2 linked regions of the Neodiprion lecontei genome follow. The protein of the gene in region 1 binds, or shares a complex with, the protein of each later gene. Links are inferred from orthologs where the notes say so. Each region holds a gene or a part of one and is shown in the gene's direction. Other genes may lie near its edges. The genes, in order: (E3-independent) E2 ubiquitin-conjugating enzyme UBE2O and nucleosome assembly protein 1-like 1.

Region 1 (5,282 bases):
GTAAGTTTAGATGATTAGATATTGATGATGCAAACGCATGTAACTTTAAGTAGCGTCAATCTCGTTCACGTAAACGCTCGATACTTATTAATAAAAATCTCTTCTTTACGTTTCTGTCCAGCTTCATAGAGGGGAAGGCTCTGGTCGTCAATTTAGACGAAAATTCAGTCGCTGCCGAAGATGTAAGAATATTTTGTAAAATCATATTTAGCTACAATGCATAAAATTATTTATAATCAATGCAATGGCATAATTATTGCGATACTCTTATCAGGACAAAATTGAGCTTGGAGATGTCTTGGATGAGATCAACGGAAACGTTATAACTGCTAGCGCCAAGGGAAGACTTGGAAAAATCATGAAAAAGGCAATAGGACAACCCATATCTCTTCATATCATTAAAGTATGGATCAAATGGTTATTTTTCCTATGACACGACTTACTAGTCAGGCACCGTCAATTGCGACGTATTGTTGACGTGATTTTACCACAGCAGTTTTATAACTGTTTTAGTATCGGTATAAACAATCCAGAGATGTTTACGGACCAATTGTTCACCTGATTCGCAGCTCAAATATCGATCATATGAAAAAATTACTACTCCAGAGAAGTCCGATTCTGAAACCCGATTGTATCGGAGATGATAAATCAGGGGTAAACAACTCTAATACAGAGAACGAACAGCTGAAAGCTGGATTCGTGCTCAAGTACTGCGGTTCTATTTCTACTGGAACGGAAGGTGATGTAAGACAGATCGAAAAAGCCATTTGGCGAATCTTAAAGTCTGAGGATTTCCAGTCGACAAGTGTCAGGTTCGAATGCTTGGAGATAGGAGTCAGAGTCACACGGGCAAACGATGATAATGTAAGTTTTATTTGGATCAACGAGATATTTAGCTTTAGCCATTGAGAGATATTTTTGTTCTAACTGTGTACTGTATGGTATTTCTAGATCATTTCGAAGCACAGCTATATGGAAATATCATCATGCGGGCGTACTGCTAATATTCCAGACTACTTTGCGTTCATTGCGGGGTAAGATAATTATCAAAGTTACGTGCAATTGTTGGTGAAAAATTGTAACAATTGTTATGTTATCTATCTTGTTTCAGAGACAAAAACTGTAACGTGGCGACAAAGTTCAATGCCTATATATTTTTCCATCACAACGAAGAAGAAGTACAAACAATTTTGCAGAGTTTAGGCCAAGGTTTCCAGCGAACACACTTTGCTGTATGAATGTTCGTTTACATTGTCAAATTTGGCTAGGGGTTGCCTAATATTCAAGCTTATGTAAAGGAAACAGGGCTGCCGTAACGGTGGCTAAATAATTCAACGCAGATTGACAAGCTGTTAATAAGAATACAATATATTCCATCAAGGAATTAAGAAAAACAACAATATATCAATTAATATGCGATATCAAAAGAATTTCAAATAAATGTATATTTTCTGCCTAATTTAACATGTACAATGTATACATCTTGTAGATACCGCGTTGATTTTAATCTTCGTGGTTTTTACAAAATAAAAATCAATTCCCCAATTTTAAGTGTACCTAGAAGATTTTGTTTCCTTAGTCTCTCGGCCGCTCAATTTTCCCTCAGATAAATTAACGCAGACTAAAATGGAACTTGATTCTGCACACAACGCATCGCTTCGAAATGAGGATACATACGATCGAAGTCCACGCAAAGAGGGCGCGTTTTTATTTTTGAATAATTGAAGCGAGCGAAGGAGAAGACAAACGAGATCGAAACAAAAACAAGAGGTTGAAAAAAAAGGGTTGCCACGGGGTGAAACTAAAAAACAAAAATGGGTCCCGAAGGGCCGAACGATGAAGGGCAGAGAATGGACCGCTTCGAAACGTCGAGAATCGCCTAAATCCCGGCGCGCGCGTCTTTAGGGTCAAGGCGCGATCGCCCGGCCATCGTTGGCGGTGAGTGTGCGCCGTAAGATTGGTTCTGTCATCCGTCGTCAGCTGCTCGGCTGTCGTCGGCAGCAGGCAAAGAGCCAGAGCGAGGCACCGAGCCGACGGCTGACCGCGGAGTGTGTGCGTATCTAGTGCGTATGCAACCGACCGTCTCAACGAACTAACCCCGGACCGATATAAGGATAGAAAACATGGCTGCGAACACGATGATTGAATATTTCTACGAGGACGTTATTTACCGCGTGGACAAGCGAGGTAACGTTGAGTTTGGCATCGTCATGGGAAACGACGACCCCGACTCATCGGACGAAAGTTCGGACAACGAGGAGAGTCCGAAGCGGAAACAGGGAGAGATCCACGCTGTCTGGCACCCCTCCGGCGTCGAGGAACTCGTCAATTCTAAGAAGGTGATAATTCCCGAACGAGCTACTCCTCCCAGCTCTCCTTTCCCACTTCATTCTGTTATCTCTATCTATCCCTATCACTCTCTCTCTTTCTCTTTCTCCCTTCTTACGCTACCCCTAAATCGGAATCGCTTGCCACCCGATCAATCAACCGGTTCGCTGCGTATAAGCTTTACTTTCACGTCATAAAATACCGCATATCCTACCGATATACACTTCAATCAACGTATCTGCAACTTGCCAAAATGAAGAAACGGCGCATAACATACTTCGCATTTCACTGGGCGCTAATTTTGAATTTCGAACATACCCGGAATGTTCACGATATTGAAGTTTGTAACGTTATCGTATCGAAACATTGGGGGAAAAATCACTATTTTCTTATTTTTACAATCACTTGGAAGGAAAAAGGATTTCAAAATATGAGTATGTTTTATTTTATTATGGTGTACTGAATTCAAATAATTCCAAAATCGCGAAGTAACGGTTTTTCCTCAGCATGAATCGTTATGAACTTTAACATGGTGAATGTTTCATCTAATTGAAACATGCTATTGTTAATTGGGCCGTAAAACATCGAATGTCTCGTCATTTTGCTCAAGATTATACCTTAACCTTTTTTTTAAGCCTCCCCATTGTTAGGTAGTTGTTACATCAACCAATTATCCATTTGTTGTTTAATTTTTTTTTAGATACATCTGGCTGACAGATCACTGATGCCAGGTGACGTTGTACGTCGTATGATTAAGGGAAAGGACACCCAGAGAGGCTACTGTCGAGACATCGAATTAACCGCTTGTGTTCAAGTCATTGGAACTAAACAAATCTTGACTAATGTTAAAAGTGAAGATTTGGTGCCACTGGAGGTGCATAGCAGTTCGACGTTACTTTAACATCAGTTTTTACAGACATCCAATCTAGTCATGTCTGATGTCAATGTTGAAACGAGAGTATTTTTTGCAATACGATCTGTCCTAATGTCAGAATTCAACATTTGCAGGAATTTTCTACGGACATAGCCGTGTGCATGGATTCTTGGGTCGGTGGAATTAAGATGGTCCATTCAAAATTATGGCTGGCAATGCCGGATGGATCACGTTGTGTGATAAATGAAATAGATGCCTGTGCTCTGGAACAGTTTGAAGAAAAGCGAGAAAATGTAACGTGTAATTCAACACTGATCTGTGGAATGAGCATCGGATCAATTTCCGATACTTCAATGCTCACCTTATACCACCGATCCTTTTTTATTTCAGGATAACGATTTTCCACATTCCTCCGAATTCTATCCAGGTCAAAGCCTCTGGGGGCCGTTACATTGTCTGGAAGACGCGCAATGGATTTTGTGCACTAAGGAATTAAAGGCAAAGAGAAAGTTGAAGCCGCAAAAAATAACCAAAGTTGTTGTTGAGAAAATAGAGACTGATTCAATAGGAGTTCACTGGCAGTGCAGAGCCTACTCCAAAGACGGAGCTGGCACGGATCAGGTGCAACCAAAGTTTGTAGTGGAGGGTGAAGATCTCAAAAAATTAAAGCTCCTCAATGTATTTGAACCCTCGACACTACAAGTTGGGGATCGTAACTTTTACACCGTTAAGGAAAATGAAAATGTAATCAGCCGAGAACAGTGGAGAAAACAGCAAAGAGAAATTTTCAACGTACCAAAGCATGGCCCGCGGAAATCCCGGGTAAACGTTAGCGTTACCAAACCTGTTGACAATAAACCTATTATTCTGGATCGTCAAACATCCGAGCGATTGGAGGCTAATTTGGCCAACAATCCTGTCAACAATTCGCACAGTTCCTTGGCAAACAACAGTTTAATGCCACCACCACAAAATACCACTGCAGAAAGTTCCGATGATTGGGATACAGAAGATACAGGGTCACAAAGTGACACAGCTTCGGTTAGTAGGAAAAAATCTATGAGCAAGTTCAACGCAGATAGTTGTTTTTGTGAGCACAATAAAACCTACCTGCGCCTGTATAAAAATTACAGGTATCCAGCGGCTGTTCTAGCGTAGCGTCTATGGGCAAAAAAAAGAGAGGACCTGCCCTGATGACGAAGGTTCTGAAGAAAAAAAAGTTGTGCAAAGCAAAGAAGAAAGTTGCACCTGTTGCACTGATACCTGGAACGAAAATAGTCGTGGAAACTTTGTCGACGAGTACAAAAGCAAACGTAGTCTGGCAAGACGGGTCCGTCGAAATTGGTACTAACACACATACTTTCTTTTTCCATATTGAAACTCTGTGTCAATACATGACACTATACTGACAAGGTTTATCATCTATTCAGGTATTCCTTCCACCCAGTTGTATCCTATACATCACTTAGATGACCAAGAATTTTTCCCTGGTGACTTTGTCGTCGACCAAAAAGAGGAATCAAGAATGTATGGCGTCGTACAGAGCGTTGATCATCAAGGCAGAACGGCTAAAGTAAAATGGTTCAGAACATACACTTCAAGCCAAAGTCCTCAGTGAGTAAACTACAAATTATTTGCCGCAATTTTTAACAGTGTCCATAACCTTCGAGCCAAGTGATATTTATATTTCAAAGTCCACTAAAATCTTCGATGAATTAATGATGGGATTATTTTCACTAGGCCAACGATGTTACAAGAACGCGAGGTCAGTGTTTACGATCTGAAAGATCATCCTGACTTCCAGTACAGACCTGGTACCTTAGTTATTCGTATAGCGAACTTCGAAGGCGAAGATGCTGGATGTACAGCTGGGCAGATATTAGATAATTATCCAGAAGGTCGAGTCAAGGTCTGGTGGGCCGATGGTCACGTCAGTATGTGTTGGCCCCAAGACTTATATAAGGTTGGGGAATACGATAGTGACGAGGGAGAGCTCTGGGACGACGTATCATCAGAAGCCTCATGGGAAACTGAATCTGAAGATTGCGTTATTGCTGATCCAGACGGTGAAGATTATTTT
Region 2 (6,332 bases), on another chromosome or scaffold:
TGAAAGAGGCATTTAATGGTAGCTTGATCCCCACTACAGGTCGTAATCGATATGGACTGCTCACGCTGATTCCTCGGATCTGGATCAGTAAAAATAAAAGATAACTCTCGTCTTCTTTGACTTTACTCCCCTGTCACAATTACCTGATATTTTAGAGTACCGTCTGAGGTATGAATGAACAGATAGCTATCGATTTCACCTTCTTCCCTACCGAGGAACACAACATTGAATGTTGTATTGCCAAGGGGTGGGATTACCTTTAAACATATAAAATTTGTTTATGAATCTGTTAGCGCTCAGTTATATTCCTTTTCCTTAGGACATACCATAAAATCAGTAGTATTAAATGCAAGGCTAAAGACTCACTTTATCCTGGAAAAAAGACGAATGAAAGTGTTGTGTATTCCCAGAAATTGATGAGACATGAATTGTTTTATTACAATCTCTATTGAACAATGTCACAGTTTCTTGATGTGGTACACCAAGCTGTCTGAAATTGATATATTCAAAGTTATATTTCAAAATATAATTATATCACAAGTTCCAAAAAAATTTTGACTGCCTGTTAAACAGCTTCGTAATGGAAATTATTTACATACCTTTCTTTGAAGTCCAGTATGCTTGGTTTGAACTGAATGTATGATATTGCATCGACTGTGTTGTCATCTGACATCGAATTCCTTCAACAAAATTTCTCAATTATAGAGATCATGCATAGTTTGCGGAAGAAAAAGAGGAAACAGGAATAAGATGTGAAAATAAGAGAAGTATGAAAAGAATCTCTTACGTTCAAAAGGTTATCATTGAATGTGACTTGAATTGATATGAAACTCCACCTTCATTAGAATTACTTAACTTACCGATGCTCCTCAACTGAACTAGAGAATCCCTGTAAAAGAAAGATAATATAATATGATTGTGCAGTTTGAAGTAAAGGAAAGAAGTGAATGAAAAAACAGATCTCATTACCTTGTGCATGGATATAGGGATGTTGTCCAAAAGATACTGGACCTCATTGTTGGCTTGCACAAATGCTGAAAGTAAGAAGCATAGAAGAATTATAATAGAAACATACCAATGAACGTTAACGAAGCATGTGCACAAGTTTTTAATGAAAGACATTTGTGTAATTATAATTTGCGTATCAAGAGCATAGCTATTTATTTTGTAGAATCGTTCAGTGAGTACTGAATAATACAGATATTGGAAACGTAATGTTCGATATGGCTTTTTTTAAATTCATTGAAAACTTCGATTACATATGCATGTATATATATAAATACATATATATATATATATATATATATATATATATATATATATATATATATATATACACACATACATATCAACACACACACACACACACACACACACATATTTATATGTGTGTGTGTGTGTGTGTGTGTAGATATGTATATTAACCGCAAGCATAACTGATAATTCCAAGCCAAGCTATTCACGATCAGTTGTGGTTTTTATGTGTCGTAAACAATACGTAATGTGGGAAAGCGACTGAAATAATATATTTTGATATGACTACAGTAAATCTTATTTACCAAAAAAAAATATAACCGCGATTAGAAAATGAATTGCATAATTGATTATTAATCTTTTCAATTTATAAAAGTTAGTTTTATTTTAATACAAGTGTTATGTTATGTATATTGAATCAAACATGGAATACAGGATCATCGAAAAAACAGGGGAAAAAATACTCACCATTATTGTGTCCGTGCAAAGACGGGTGAATTTTCGACACTAATTCTAGAGTTATGAAAAAAAAAAAATTATAACATACTTTATTCCAAATCATAATTGTATATTGTGTTATTTAGTGCTGATGCTATTTCGTCTCTAGCAGAAGTGAATATCTGGTGTCAGCCATTTCTGTATTGCTATCGACACTTTTCAATATCGATTGTGGTTATTGGTCTTATCTCGTCTCCGAATACCAGCCGAATACGTGAAACAATCGCACGCATCTCGAGAATCTCGCACCTTTCGGACTGTTGGTAACACTGAGTCTCCGGGCTACGTTCGCGCCACTCGAGAGTCGAGACGAGACTCGATTATTTTTTATACGGTGGTACCCGGACCGGTTCGCTGTTCATTCCTTCGTTCGTCTCCGTCTTTTTTGGACTGTGAGCATCCTCAACCAAGGGTATAAATTTTTAATATATATCATTAATTCAATCGCCGCTTATTATCCGCGACGTACTCCACTTTTCACGCGTGACGGCGCTCGTTAATTAACATATGAAATATCATTGATTCATCCAGCTAATTTAACATCTGTAATTTGCTCCATGTGCACGCTACCTTCGGTCGCGGCGCATAAAACTTTACTTCAAACTTTGACAATATAATCTCCGATATTTTCGTACGAGCAGCTTATTGAAAGTATTTTTACATTTAAAAGTATCCACGTAGTCAAGGATTTGAAAATCAGTCCGCATCCTGATCTTTTAGGAGTTTCGGATTTGACAAATTAAACGTGTTCGCACGCGGGCAACCTTTTGTTCTCCCTACATGGCTATTCAAACGTCAGACATATTGGGAGGGAAAGATGAACAGTTTTTTTTTACTCTGTTATTTGCTATTATTTTACACCAGAACCATGACCACCGATCCTGAACGTGCTGGAGATGCCAGTGACTTGGAATTCGTTGAGGATGAAGATGAGAATCACCCTACGGGTATCAACTCGCAGATCCTTCGCAGGCCCGATCTGTTGGCAGCTTTACAAGATCGTATTCATGCACAAATGTTGGAGGTACTTTGTTCGCTTGTAGTTCTCTTATACTAAAGGATCCAGGTTTGATGGAGATGCTAAAGAAAAATGTTTTTAACAATGCAGAGATAATTAATCATTCATACATCTTACATATACGACGTAAATTATATTTGATTCAAATCAATTTTACATCATGTTTCCAAACTCAATATCTCAACACATCAGTAACAATAACATGTCGTGTGAACAGCTCTCATTTATTAGTGTGAAAATATAAAAGTGTTTGACAATCTTCTTTTTTTAACAGGCACTTCCAGCTCCCGTGAAACGTAGAATTAAAGCTTTAAAAAAAATACAATTGGTAGCTACAAATATTGAGGCGAAGTTCTATGAAGAAGTTCATGCTCTGGAATGCAAATACCACAAAATGTACGTACCTTTGTACGAAAAGAGGGGAGAAATTGTATCAGGCATCTATGAACCAACTGAAGAGGAGTGTGAGTGGGAAAGTGACGAGGAAGAACAAGGCCTTAGTAGCGAATTGAAGACTAAGGTGAAGATTGAAGATCTTAAAGAGAAAAAAGACGAGTATGTTTCTTTGCTTTCAAGGCTTTTGATTCACTGATTATTATAGCTTATGTAACGTATCAAATCAACTCAACCATTTATGCAATCAGAATTCAATATAAAGCAAAATTTTGTTGCTTATGCTATATTCAATTGGTTCCTGGTAACAGGACAACATAATACGTTAACAAACACGTACAACATGTCCTTGAAGAATAGTTTTGAATCATCAGAGAATATACACTCTCGTGATCCACTTATCTTTCGTGACCTCCGAACTGCCAACTGTATTATTAATTCCTTCTGCCTTTGTGGAGTACAGAATACATGGGGGTGACAATTTGATCCATACTTTGAAATAAAATTGATAACACCGGCGATATCGGTTGTGTTAAATTTGTACATATTCAAAAAGTAGAGTAAATCTTTAATATTCCACCCATGGCTGTTTCTTACTAAGACATCGCTATTAAAAAGTCATGATATCTCTATATCGGACGAAATTTTTTTTTTTTTTTTTTTTTTCACATACCTAACTCTTTATTCGTCCTCAGGGCTAAAGATGAGAACGTCAAGGGTATTCCAGAATTTTGGCTCACAATATTCAAGAACGTGGGAATGCTGGCAGAAATGGTTCAGGAACATGATGAGCCCATTCTTAAACATCTTTATGATGTCAAAGTTATTTTCCTAGAATCAAACCCAATGGTGAGCAACGAATAAATATGTAATCATGACTAACTAATTGAAATCCAAGTCTTGGCATGAACTTAACAGCCTTAATGTTATGTTTTTATTTTAGGGCTTTGTTCTGGAATTCCATTTTGAACCAAATGAGTACTTCTCAAACTCTGTTCTCACTAAGGAGTATACAATGAAATGTGCCCCAGAGTTGAGCGATCCTTTCAGTTTTGAAGGACCTGAAATCTACAAATGCAAGGTAAAAATTTAATGAATTTGTATGCGAAAGATTTAGCTTTGCTATTCAGCGTCAATGTATTTCCTATTTTACCTAGACTAGAATCTACTCGGTAATGTAATTTGTGGAATTCAACAGGGCTGTGTAATCGATTGGAAGAAAGGAAAGAACGTTACTGTAAAAACGATCAAGAAAAATCAGAAACACAAATCTCGTGGATCAGTCCGCACGGTCACAAAGACTGTACAGAATGATTCCTTCTTCAATTTCTTTAGTCCTCCAATTGGTAAGGAATTCTGTCATCTGATATTTTTCTGGTAGAATCGTTGGGTAAAATTTGCAATTGAAAATCATTTTTGTTATCACAGTACCCGAAGATTCAGAAGCTGAAATCGACGACGAAACTCAGGCCCTTTTGACGAGCGATTTTGAAATTGGTCACTACATAAGAGAGCGTATTGTACCCAGAGCAGTGCTGTATTATACAGGTATTCAACAAAATTTCAAACTAGATAAAGAAAAGTGAGCAAAAGACAGTTTGCAATATATTGTGTACAAATCTTTCGGCATTCTCAGGCGAAGGACTGGAGGATGAGGAAGATGATTACGAAGAGGAGGTTGAAGAAGAGGACGACGATGACGAGGTGGATGAGGAAGAAGAGGATGGCCATGTTAACGCCCCTCCAGGTGCGAAACTGCCCCAGGGAGCCAATCCCAATGAGTGCAAACAGCAGTAGGACTATAGAATATGTGAAATAACTAATCATAGTACCTATACAACTTTATTATAAGCCATCCCATTAACCACGCGATTGACCACTATCCTTAGATTGTACCTCAGTTCCGACTTGAACCGAAACACATAAACATTCCGAAGTCCTAATCAAAATGCAGAATTCACAATATATACGGTCTTGCAAATCTCTAGTGTACAACGTTTATATCAGCTATGACTTCTGCACTATGCTTTGAAGGCTTACGGAATATGATGTGCTTTGGCCTCTGATCCATTTACGTAAACCATCCGCTAATCATATCAATCTCTCCTATTCCAGATCAAGCCTAGAAACTTCAACTTACCAGTGAAAAAATTATGTGTAAAAACCTCTCTAAATCCGACGTTCATGACGATTGATGAGTAAATTTGACGCATTTAGAAATACGTATACATCTAACGTGTTTATAACATCTGAAGTATATTGATAATGTGGTTCTCTCCTCTAGTATATTCAACGTTCCTCTAATTATTAATTGCTTCAATATTTTTTTAAACTATTGTTACGTTTATATGTATGTAGACAGGAAATGATTTGAAAACTTTTTTCAAAATCTGTGTTGACCTATACAAAAGAGAAGAATTTTCGGTACTGTTGAGGCATTTTAATACAAAAATGTGAAAAAGATTTAAATGATCATTTTCATTCCCTACTTTTTCAATCCTTATGTGATTACGTCCCTATCGTTGTTACTCAATTTTAAATTTGTAATAAACCTTTATCATACAAAACAAACAAATTTTGTTTCAAAATATCGAAACTAAAGGATATGACTTAATGAGCTGGGGATATGTATGCACGATAACACGTGTGCGTGCATATACATTCATCTATGCTAGCTGAATAGTTAACGACAATTAATGTCATGGAGCGGGAGTAGCCGCAATAAAAAAATTGCGGAGTGACGTGTCCTACCACACATGCACTGCTTCGTGACAATCGTGACCAATTATTACTTAGCACGGTCTTATATCATTGACTGAGGATGCTGAAGGTAATGGGTCTAACACAAAGCGACACCAAGTGATTTTATTGGCTAGATCTAACGGAATAGGTCAATGAAATCACTTTGTATCGTGTTGTGTCAGAAAATTGTCGTAAAAGGAAAACGCTAATTATGACTGCGTTAATATTTGTGCCATCGATTTGGTTAGGGGAGTTAGAGGATAATTTCCGGTTTCTGCACCTGTCAACCGTAGACTTGACTCGTCTATGCTGTCAACCACCTGTCAACGCTGCAATGATTCGATAATTGCAGAAAAGTACAATTTCCACCGTCTTCGACTGGATTTTCACAAGCAGCAAATTAATGGAGTAGCGCGGTGTTACAGAC

The links.
Region 2: the proteins of (E3-independent) E2 ubiquitin-conjugating enzyme UBE2O (region 1) and nucleosome assembly protein 1-like 1 are in contact, whole or in part, in a cryo-EM structure (PDB 7UN6), measured with the Homo sapiens proteins. The link is inferred for Neodiprion lecontei from reciprocal best matches to the Homo sapiens genes UBE2O and NAP1L1. Residues at the interface, in NP_071349.3 of Homo sapiens: Ser225, Asn226, Val282, Lys283, Pro284, Val285, Lys289, Ser290, Lys291, Phe292, Arg293; in NP_001317160.1 of Homo sapiens: Arg333, Arg337, Thr343, Gly344, Glu345, Ala346, Ile347, Asp349.

What each region holds. Positions count from the first base shown.
Region 1 is NC_060261.1:3,801,136-3,806,417, reverse strand, and holds the start of (E3-independent) E2 ubiquitin-conjugating enzyme UBE2O, read left to right. Parts: upstream 1-1,991; 5' UTR 1,992-2,123; coding exon 2,124-2,339; intron 2,340-3,028; coding exon 3,029-3,202; intron 3,203-3,336; coding exon 3,337-3,495; intron 3,496-3,592; coding exon 3,593-4,243; intron 4,244-4,335; coding exon 4,336-4,546; intron 4,547-4,632; coding exon 4,633-4,816; intron 4,817-4,942; coding exon 4,943-5,268; intron 5,269-5,282. Other genes in the region: uncharacterized protein LOC107218116, read left to right, coding at 122-182, 275-403, 514-864, 952-1,034, 1,112-1,238. UniProt on the Homo sapiens protein: E2/E3 hybrid ubiquitin-protein ligase that displays both E2 and E3 ligase activities and mediates monoubiquitination of target proteins. Negatively regulates TRAF6-mediated NF-kappa-B activation independently of its E2 activity.
Region 2 is NC_060265.1:2,824,170-2,830,501, forward strand, and holds nucleosome assembly protein 1-like 1, read left to right. Parts: upstream 1-2,019; 5' UTR 2,020-2,164; intron 2,165-2,616; 5' UTR 2,617-2,620; coding exon 2,621-2,776; intron 2,777-3,044; coding exon 3,045-3,325; intron 3,326-3,858; coding exon 3,859-4,012; intron 4,013-4,106; coding exon 4,107-4,244; intron 4,245-4,361; coding exon 4,362-4,509; intron 4,510-4,591; coding exon 4,592-4,711; intron 4,712-4,799; coding exon 4,800-4,960; 3' UTR 4,961-5,278; coding exon of another isoform or gene 5,279-5,289; 3' UTR 5,290-5,626; downstream 5,627-6,332. Other genes in the region: transmembrane protein 131, read right to left, coding at 1-79, 144-257, 367-490, 600-680, 861-889, 970-1,034, 1,723-1,816. UniProt on the Homo sapiens protein: Histone chaperone that plays a role in the nuclear import of H2A-H2B and nucleosome assembly.